2 linked regions of the Schizosaccharomyces pombe genome follow. The protein of the gene in region 2 purifies or fractionates together with the protein of the main gene of each other region. This does not show direct contact. Each region holds a gene or a part of one and is shown on either strand. Other genes may lie near its edges.

Evidence for each region. The genes of interacting proteins can lie anywhere in the genome.
Region 1: the proteins of sib3 (region 2) and sib2 purify together in Schizosaccharomyces pombe (affinity purification with western blotting, with the first as the bait; one study listed by BioGRID). This does not show direct contact.

Annotation. Positions count from the first base shown.
Region 1 is NC_003424.3:868,130-873,273, reverse strand, and holds sib2 (ornithine N5 monooxygenase), read right to left. Parts: upstream 2,482-5,144; 5' UTR 2,394-2,481; intron 2,322-2,393; 5' UTR 2,250-2,321; coding exon 954-2,249; 3' UTR 501-953; downstream 1-500. Other genes in the region: Ino80 complex subunit Ies4, read right to left, coding at 1-107; ferrichrome synthetase Sib1, read left to right, coding at 3,747-5,144.
Region 2 is NC_003423.3:2,178,257-2,183,845, forward strand, and holds sib3 (siderophore-iron biosynthesis protein), read right to left. Parts: upstream 2,441-5,589; 5' UTR 2,237-2,440; coding exon 1,232-2,236; 3' UTR 1,085-1,231; downstream 1-1,084. Other genes in the region: RRM-containing cyclophilin Rct1, read left to right, coding at 1-1,076; rps2402 (40S ribosomal protein eS24), read left to right, coding at 2,675-2,743, 2,825-3,160; centaurin Cnt5, read right to left, coding at 3,489-3,976, 4,021-5,589.

The DNA.
Region 1 (5,144 bases), on a different chromosome or scaffold from region 2:
TGAGAAGATGGTGATGCAGTAAAGTTTTGCTTCTCTTTCAAGGAACTTAAAACTTCTCGAAACCTTTCAGTTGGCACTTTTAAATGTAATACTAAAGTTTCGCTCATTATATGTTTATAATTACCCAAATATGTAATTTGTAAGAGCACCAAGCAAATAACTTTCGAACTCTTTTAACTAAATCGAAAACACTGATTAAAGGATAAAAAACTTCTTAAACTTCCTTTTCTTTAAATTTATCTCTCTTCAAATTATTTAGCAATAAGATGGAAACCTTTCTTAAAGACCAAAATTGAAAGGTAACTTGGAATAAGAGAAGACAGGAAAAAAATTTGAATGCGAGGTGGAAAGTATCAACTAAACGTGTTCCACCGTTGGGATCTGCCGTCCCATAGTTCGCCAGCTTGGACTTGGTGCACCGTCATGTCTCCAGTGTATATACATAAAATTTCTTTAACGAACAACATGCTTTGCAGTGAAGATAATTTTTCTACGAATAAGCGCGCTTAAATATTTTAGTGAAATCAAAATTAATTTATTTAATAATGTTAAGCATACTCACTGCTTACGTTTTGTATGTCAATTTGGGTCTTTAAGTAAAAGTAAGCTCGAATTTAGCAAAATACATTATAGCTATATGGATATCTGTATCAAGTCGTCTTTAATCGACCGGAATGTCAAAATACCTTTTATTGTCACGTAAGAAATTGGGATAGCACGACTTACTATCGAAATAAGGCATGAAAGGGCGAATGAAGGGAAATATTCACAGTAGCTTTAAATTGACCAAGTCATCGAAATCTATACAAATATACAGTGTAGAGATTCGTAAACCGAATAAAAGGTTCAAAAGAAAATGCAAAAGTCGAAGATTTCTCTATGTTCTTGTAAAAAGAATAAAAGATAATGAAAGACGGCGAAGCATCAAATGAGGTGAATAGTTAAGCTGAGAATCAATTAAGATAAGAAGCAGGGACCCGAGCAGTTGGTTTACTCGGACCAAACAGTTCCTTGGCTAAACCACCAGCTCGGATAGCAGCCCAGCTAAGAAGGGTTTCGCCGATTCCGTGTTGATTGCTGGTAATGCCGGCAACATAGACTTTTCCCTGTTTACTTGGGGCGTTTAGTACACAGTACTCCTCAGAAATTTGAGCGCCCTGCGAGTTGGGAAAAAGGGAGGACATTAAGACATCGAATGATTCATGATCATAACCAGTAGCTACATACAGGACATCAATTTTACGAGTTTCAGGCTTTTTGCTTTTGTCCATTTGACTAGTCAATTGAACAACTAAATGATCGCCTTCGTTCTTAATCGACTGAATGTCTGTATCACCCATTATTTGATGGAATTCTTGACCATACCTCAGTTTTTGCAAGTAGCACTCCTTAAACATCTCCTCCAATAGTGACTCTTTGACAACACTGTAATTGGTAGTACGGCCAACGCTTAGTCCTTTCAATCTAGCTTCAGTGGGAAGGTTGTACCACCAATGGGAGTTATGGCTGTCAAAGTAAAGCGAATTCACAAAAGGGCTTGAGTCACTGGGAACTGGGGCCAAATTGCGAAAGCACATTGCCAAAGGGGTCTTGGGGTCGAGAGAGTAATGACAGTGTTTCCATATTTCAGCAGCAGATTGACCGCATCCCACGACGAGAATGCCGTGTTTGGAATTTCGAAGCAACTTTTGACTATGATCTGACATGAACTTACTGGAGTGGACGATAAGTGGACTGTCGACTGATTTATACAATGGTGGTATATACGGCTGACAACCCGTAGTAATAATGATGTTTTTCGCTTGCCATTGAGTATCACCGTGACCCACAATGTACAGATCAGTTGCGGCATCGTAATGGAGTTTATTAATGTTAGCGTTGTACTCGACAAACTTGGAGAAATGGCTGGCTGCCCAGCATAAGTAGTCATGGTATTCGTAACGAGATGGCTCTAGGGTGGACATGTTAAGGAAACCAGATAATCGTTCCTGGCCATGCGAATGTAGATAGTTTAAAAAGGTGAAGTAAGAAGTAGGATCCCTGGGCGTTGCCAAATCCTTTACAAATGAGATTTGCATGTTTGAACCAGGAATCAGCATACCCTCATGCCAGGAAAACGTGGGCAACTTTTCAAACACGCGGATTTTTTTGTTCTTTAAGGGCTCCTCCGAATGGTCATGCAAAGCAATAAGGAAAGAAAGACTAGCGGGACCAAATCCAATAATTGCTAAATCTAGAGGTTCAGTCATTTTCTTATTTCCAAAGGTTTTTTTTTAAGAAAGAGGGACGAAATGAATTAATTAGATAATTAGGGATTTTCCCTAAGCAAGCAATAATATTAGAAAACTTGGTTCCATTATCCGAAAAAACATATTTTTCCTTTTCATACTTACCAAGTTTCACGATATTCTAGAATGCGCGGCTTTTTGAAATTAATTAGGCTAGCACTACTACAAATGTTTGCAAGAAGATTGTTGGTCGATTTTAAAATATTGTTATCCAACCCACAATACGTGCGAAAATGAGCCTATATAATGGAAGTATATGAGCACATGTATTTTAAGGAGTCCATTCCCTTTCGATAACATATGTCGCGCTTTCTCCGTCATAGCGCTAAGCCCTTACGTAACTGCAGTTAAGGTGGAAATTTTGTGAAATCCGAGAAAATCTCGAAGCATAAACAACCGTTAAAAAAAAGAGGATGGTGAAATGAAAATTCTGTTTTTCTTGAGCGAAATTCTTTTTTTATGGGAAATTAAAACAAAGCATCGCCAGGTATATGTTTTCTCCTCGCGTACATACGAATAAACAAAAAATAAGAAGTGCCTAAAATTAAGCATCGTTTTGTATTCTTAGGTATAAACAGAAGGTGAAAAGTGTACTGCCAAATTTAGTATTACGGAAAACCGAGTCTTTGTTATGAAATTATTTGAAAATCGTTAAAATTACCGCATACCAAGGTCTATATTTCTCTGTCATCTTCTTTCCCTCCCCTTTTCATCCACTTTCTCTATGCTGCGGTCGCATGCTCTGTATCTCGCAAGTCCGTAGTTTTTTGAACTATGCGGAAGCAAATCTGGAGTAAAGCGAAAAGGAAGTGGTAAGTGTGTTACAACACATTTTTTTTAATAGAATGGCATCGATTAAATGAGACATCAGAAAAAATGGAAAACTCTATTCATTCGTTTTCCACTACAAAAAGTCCCCTTTACTTGGACTCAGGTTTACCGACCGGCACCCCGCGTTGATCTTCTAGACTCTCTTCATCCGATCTCTATCGATCTGATAAATATAAGGTGGTAAAGTGGGCAATATTGTAAGCGAAAATCTAGGTCACATGCACTTCATTTGATATCTCTCCATTTTAAATTTCGGAAAAGATTAGTAATGAGGCTTTTCATGATCTTTCGAAAGTATTGAAAAATTCACTTAAAAGAGCAAACTCCGATGAAAATAGTCACCCGAAAAACTTCCAGTTTGTTGATTGCCTTGTTTAGACAGGCCTTTTTGATTGCACATTATAACGAACTTTAAGGCTGCGCCAAATCACGTAACTAAACTTCGTTAAGCAAGGGTGGTGTAATATTACAAGCATCCATATTTTAGCAGGATATTCCTCTACTTGGTTCTTACTGCTACTGTGTTTTAATGAAGGATTAATACATCCTTTAGCTATTGATACATTTGTGAAACAACACCTTCGTTATAAAATATTTCCGTGTCACTAAATTTTTTGATTGAGACTTATGAAGAATTCAAATGAAGAAGATGCTTTCTCAACTCAAATTTCTCAATTAGGTCCTATGCGGCCGTCAAGTGATGCCCCCTATCACGTTTTATCACTTCCCTTTTCACATCCTTACTCTGCATTTTTGGACGCTTGGAGTTGGCTGTTTTGTGGTATCACTGGTGGAGAAGTTTCATTCTTTTTTTTTCCTGTTTCAGACGATGTGATTCCTAATACTAATCCTAAAAATTGCCAATGCTACTTATATCATTCTACAAACTCCCAACTAGAACCCTTAGAAGTTTTTCACCTACATAAACTACATTCTGCCGTTTTCACTTCGCGTCGAGATCCATCCTTTGCTGACGATTTGTTTGAATCATCTAAACCATGTTTGAATCAACTTTTATCTTATTTTTCAGACATAACCGCTTTTCGATCTATGGATGTGGTTGCCGACATAGCCTTTGTCTGTTCTCCCAATTTCCTTACTTTAAAATGGAATTCGTCTCTGTTTGATGATGATTTAGCAAGATTACTTTTTTTCATGATTAACTCAAAAATCACTAATTACGACCTCCCCTTCTCCATCCTTAATTCTCCTTGTTCCGATTTATGCTTAAACTCTTCATCTCTTGCTAATTATTTACACGGGTGTTTTTATCATAATACTCTTTCTCACCCTTATCAAGATGCTTTGAAGTTTATATATGAAATTGGCGATGATCTGGAGGATACCTTTAGATCATTTTCTTTTCTCGAGCTTCACTCTTTGGCAATAAAACTTTCCAAACTCGTTACATGTAAGAATGAGGTAGTTCCTATTATGGTATCTCATTCACCTGCTCTTTTCGTTGGTATTCTTGCAATCCTCTACAGTGGTAATGCTTATTGTCCCATTGATGTAGAAACTCGTACTGAAAGGGTCCACTTTATCAGTAAAGATGTTGATGCGTCTTTTGCTATTGTCTCTGAAGAGTTTGTTAATCGATTTCCTAATAACACAATTATATTAAAGGTTCCTGAGTATAATGAGTCAATGGAGATCAAAGTCGATGATGAGATACCCCCCTTTCCCTTTCCTGAAAGCCTTGATTCCGTTGCTTATGTTCTGTACACATCTGGTTCAACTGGAAATCCCAAGGGTGTTGCAATCTCTCATCGAGCTGCTACCAATTCTATCAAATCCCACGGGTATTTATATCCAATGTTTGGGCTTGAACGTGGTGATGCTTGGTTGCAGTTTGCCAACGTGACCTTTGATGTATCGGTTTTTGAAATTTTTGGAAATTGGAATAACGGTCTGACGTTGGTGACTTCGAAAAGGCAGAACTTGATCGGAAATTTGGAGTATTTAATATATGATTATAAAATCGCTGCTTTGGAACTAACACCCACTGTTGCTAATGTTATCTCG
Region 2 (5,589 bases):
CACGCTTTTTCAAAGCGGAATTTAATCCTTCTTTGGTACATAATAAAATGGGCTTGGTTAGTATGAGCACAGCAACTATATCTTCTAGAGATGACAAATTACTTGTTTGTGGTAGTCAGTTTATAATAACTTTGTCAGACAATTTAGAAGGACTTGATGAAAGATACCCAATTTATGGACAGGTTGCTGAAGGCTTTGACACGCTACTGAAAATCAATGACGCTATATGCGATGAAGAGGGTCAGCCTTATCGTGATATTCGTATAAAACACACAATTATACTAGATGACCCGTTTGAGGATCCACCCGATCTAGTGGAGCCTTTGCGGTCACCGTCTCCAACGCCTGAACAATTAGCTACGGTACGTATAGGGGAAAACGAACAAATTGAGTCAGAAACATCGGAAGATAAATTGCAAAGAGAGAAGGAAATGGAGGCAGAAGCAGAGGCTGTTACACTAGAAATGATTGGTGATTTACCCTTTGCTCATGTTGCTCCTCCCGAAAACGTTTTGTTCGTTTGCAAATTAAATCCCGTTACCCAAGATGAAGATTTAGAGTTAATATTCTCGCGATTTGGAAAAATTATCTCCTGCCAAGTTATTCGAGATAAAGAAACAGGCGATAGTCTTCAATATGCCTTTATCGAATTTGATAACAAAGAAAGTGTTGAAAAAGCTTATTTTAAAATGCAAAATGTTTTAATTGATGATTCTCGAATTCACGTAGATTTTTCCCAAAGCGTGGCTCGTTACAGACAATATTACAACTCCAATAGGGACCGAAAACGTTCTTCGTCTCGTAGTGATGATCGTGAGTACCACCGTAGGTCTGATGGTCGTTATGACAGATCTAATTACCGAGACGACTATAGGCATCGACGGAAAGAGCGTGATCATCGTGACGATCAAAGTTCATTTAGAAATGAAAGATTTTCTAACTACTACGGTGATGATCGTTCATACCATAAACGGAGAAATACTGGAAATAAAAATTGTGATGATCACTTACGAGATAAATCTCCTGAACGAAGGTATAGATATGATAGACGTTATAGAGATGATAGATATCGATAGATCTTTATTATATTCGTACCTTTCTTGTGAATATTATTTATGACTGATGAAATTACTAAAACATAGTTGAATAATTGATTAAGACTTCAAATGTATGGAATGAAATCTACATTGCTTATACTTGTAAAAGCAAAAAATCAAAAAAAATCGTCGTACTAAATTCGAGGGCCTAAGCATGAAAAGAACATGTTACGAGTAATCTCCATAAATGCGGCACGTTTATGAGGGAAATTAAATTCCAAACGTTTGGAGTAATTTTCTTCGATCAAATAGTTAATAAATTTTGAATTGTCAATTCTTGGTTCAAGAAGTACACGCTGAGTACGAGGATCATCCAAAAATAACATATGCGTAATACTGGATAACCACACGGGGACACGGTGAGGCCCGCGAAATTTGTCATTACCTACAAGGGCATGGAAACCACGATCATGTGTATGCCAAGGCTGAGCAAATGGAGCAATTCTATCCTCAGGAACCCAATAAACTTCAAAATAAGCAAAAGGCACATCATTGAAACAGCCAATGACACCAAAAGAATGAGGATCGTTTTGAAGTGTTGTTAGGTATTCATGATGTTGATCCCATGAACCAGACTCGTTCCAAAAGTATTCAACTCTCGGTTTGTTCTGCCACTCATGGAAATACTGCAGATGTTGCTCAATGTCAAGAGATACGAAGGAAAGTGTCTCATTCAAGCTAGGTATAAATCGCTCATACAGAGTGGAACCAGGTTTTGGACATTTGGGACGACGAATGACTTGGTTCGGTAAGTAAGATAAAGGCCAATCACTGCATCTTGTGTACATCCAAGGAGACGGGATTTGCCAAAAAGACATACGGTCAATCGAGACATTACCTTCTAACTCATTGTATTCAACAGGAAGGCTCAAAGTTCCTTTTTGACTTTCAATGTTTGCCCACTGTAGAACGACTTCTGTTCTCAAAGTAGGGAATACGTAGAAAATAGAAAGAAACGCCAACTGCAAAATTTCATTAACGTCCATGTCTTGGAATCCATTTAAATCAATATCCCATGTTTTGGACTCTTCACGATACGTTAAAAGCAATCTCTTATTGTCATGTTCTAAAGTTATCAAACTCTCTTGGACAGCTGAAAGCTTGAAAGGCTCGGTCTTAGACCAAACAGTAAAGGACATCCCGAATGAAATTTCTCGAATTTTACTTAGAGTTAAGATATATTGTTATAGATATTGCCGTCAACTATCTAATTACAGGTGAAATCTTAAACAAAAGATAGAAGCAGCGACGCTAATTTGTACAATTTGGAATCCTCGAGCAATATTAAAACAAATAGGAATTAGTTTTAATTGTTTACATACGGTGAGCAATGTACGTTATTTACAAGATGGCTGGTGCACAGTAGCACATAAACAGTGATGTCAAGAGCCTAGTGCTAAGAATCTGTAAACGTGATAACGATTTAGTAATAAAAAACTTTAAACCACATTTAGGTATTGTTTAAGAAATTCATTAAATTACAAAAAGTCCAAAAAGCAGTCACAAACAACATCAAACAAATGGCTATCCCTTGTGAGAGCCTTTCCTTACCACCATCAGTCACCAAAATTTCTAAAATGAGTGAGGCCGTGACAATTAGAACTCGCAAGTTTATGACTAACCGCTTGCTTCAAAGAAAGCAGATGGTATGTTTATTTGATGAAGCTTCCCGCTATTTGACCTTTTGGTCTATTTTTAATTCAACATCAGCTAACGGAAATTTATAGGTCGTCGACATTCTTCACCCTGGCAAGGCTAACCTTTCCAAGAATGAAATTCGTGAGAAGTTGGCTCAAATGTACAAGACTGATTCCGAATGCGTTCAAGCCTTTGGTCTTCGCACTCATTTTGGTGGTGGCAGATCTACCGGCTTCGCTTTGATCTATGACTCTACTGAGTCCATGAAGAAGTTTGAGCCTCACTACCGTCTTGTTCGTGTTGGTCAAGCTGAGCCTATCCAAAAGGTTGCTCGTCAGCAACGCAAGCAACGTAAGAACAGAGGCAAGAAGGTCTTTGGTACAGGCAAGCGTCTTGCCAAGAGAAAATCTAAGCAACAAGACTAGAGTAGATACTTACTTTAGGTTCCTTTCTCGCCAAAAACTCAATACATTCTGTCCCTCGCGTAAAACTATTATTGTAAATTTTGTTGTTTCCGTACCTTGTAACTGAGATTTTTTATTATTATGCATTGAGTATATGTACAATTCACATAACGCTACAAATACGTTCGAAATATCTTAAAATTTATTCTGTGTGCTTTTCATGCTTATATATATACCTATGTAACATCTATGCAAACATACCAGCATATTCAACAAATTCACTCAGCTTTCCAATATACACACGAATTAAAAAACCATTATTTCCTCTTTCAAATTTACAAGTTGTCCTTCAAGGAGTTGCTCTATTCATCACAAACGCTTGCGCCCGCGCTGAAAGCGTCTCCATAGTAACTTCGTCAACATTCAAACTGGCACCGTTCAACGTCAATAGTTCAGCAATTAAATAGTTGTTCTTCAATAAAGCCTTTACAACAGCCCTTTGATAATTAACGTCTGCTCCCAGTGCTAAACATAGGACAGCTTCTTTCAGATTACTATGCTCAATAGACTCCAAAAGGCCTGTGTTAGGATCGTGTGAAAATGACGATTTAATAAATCGTTTATACAAATACTTGTCCTTTACAAATTGAACCCGACGCTCCTGATTTTCAAAGTTCTTGATTTTCCAGTCCGTTATTCCACCTTCATAGATTTCATTGACAAAACTGTTTCCAGTTGCATACAACAAATCCACGGTCTCGGGATTAAATTTGTCAAGAGTCAAAGATCGAATCTTTGTAATATGAGTACCCAAAGATCTATGTATACCAGAACAATCTGTTCTTGTTAGTAAAGTTTAGAGGCTGCATACTAGCACTTACCTATGCATAAAACTACGGGGAAATTAATAGCACACCATTCAACCCTCGCAGTAGTGTTACAATCCGCACATGATTGGTCGCTACTGTGCATCTCTTTTAACGTTTTTACAAGTGAAGGTGATTTTGTTTGTTTTTTCTCTTTTGAATCGGAATTATGACGACTCGGTGATGTTACAGAAGCAACACGTTGAAGAGCTTTACCAATTGTCGAGGTGGGACCGTGTTTCACCGAAGTTTCCTCGGAATTCATAGACGTACCCTTCCCCTTTTGAACAATGCTTTCACTAATAGAGTATTGAATAGCCTCAATCCAAGAATGCATTTCGGCTTTTGAAGTAGCTTGATAAGTTCTTTTAGTTTGGGGGGTGATTACTTCAAAACAAAATTTCCTACTCACAGACTGGGCTGGACGAACGGTGGCCATTAAAAGGTCAATCGGTTCAGTGTGTAATTCCAGTGATTGCTTCCAATTAGCATATTCACATATTTTTCCGTGATCCAATACAACCCAGTATTTATGCCACCCGGATTTTCCAACAACCTGCAAGTCGCTAGTCGACTTCGAAAAAGCAAGTAATAACCCCTGCTTAGCAGACGTGTCCTGATCAACCTTTGCTTTGTATGCTTGGGCTGCTATTTCCGCATCTTTATCTTCTAGTTCACGACTACTAGTTTCTATGTATCTCCTTCTTTCTTCTCGTTCAGCCCTTAATAATTGAAATTCTTTGTTGGCCTCTGTAACAATGTCTTGCAATTGTATTATACTAGGACGCAAAGCATCGATATCGGTTAAAGAGGAGTGAATAAGATTGTAATCATTTGCAGCAAAAGATGTTAGGACGGATAAAACCTCTTGGCCTTTCCTGCCACCATTAATATCCTGCATATAAGAATAATAGTCAAACCGAGAAAGCTCAAAATCTCTTTTCTTAGCAGCAAATTTAGATTCCTTAGTTTTATCTGAAGATGTTTCTTTCTCGCTTTTAGAAAGGTAGCGTGACAATGAGGTATAATAATCACGACTTGTTTCCTCAAAATCTTTCTTTTTCGTAGATACATTTTTTATATCAGTATCATAAATTTTACGCAAAGGCTCAATAAGAAAGTTTCTTAGCAAACGAGCACGATCAATATTAAAGGAATCGAAAGATTGAGCAGCTGCAGCATAATAATGGTCTAAGAAGGGTTTAAATGCGGGCGGGTTAATGGTAGCAACACGTTCAAATGCTGACATGAGCTCTTTATAAGACATATATAGTAGACCATGAGAATGTGCTACGTGCTCGATACGTTTTATTAACTTTTTCAAAACCATGCGCATATCATGAGTAGTTCGCTCATAATTAAGAATGGTAGCACGAAACAGAGGACCATCTTCGGGTTCGGTTTGGTCAATATCTCTTGCGACTGGATTCGTGAGAGGAGGAGAATTGATAGGAAGGGGATCTACGTTACCGGATAAAGGTGGAGCATCAGATATTTCTGGACTAGTTGCAGTTTCCTCTGCAAGATGCATGGGCATTGGGAAAGGAGTAGCAGGAGTTGAGTCTTGATCTGATTCTGTAACGT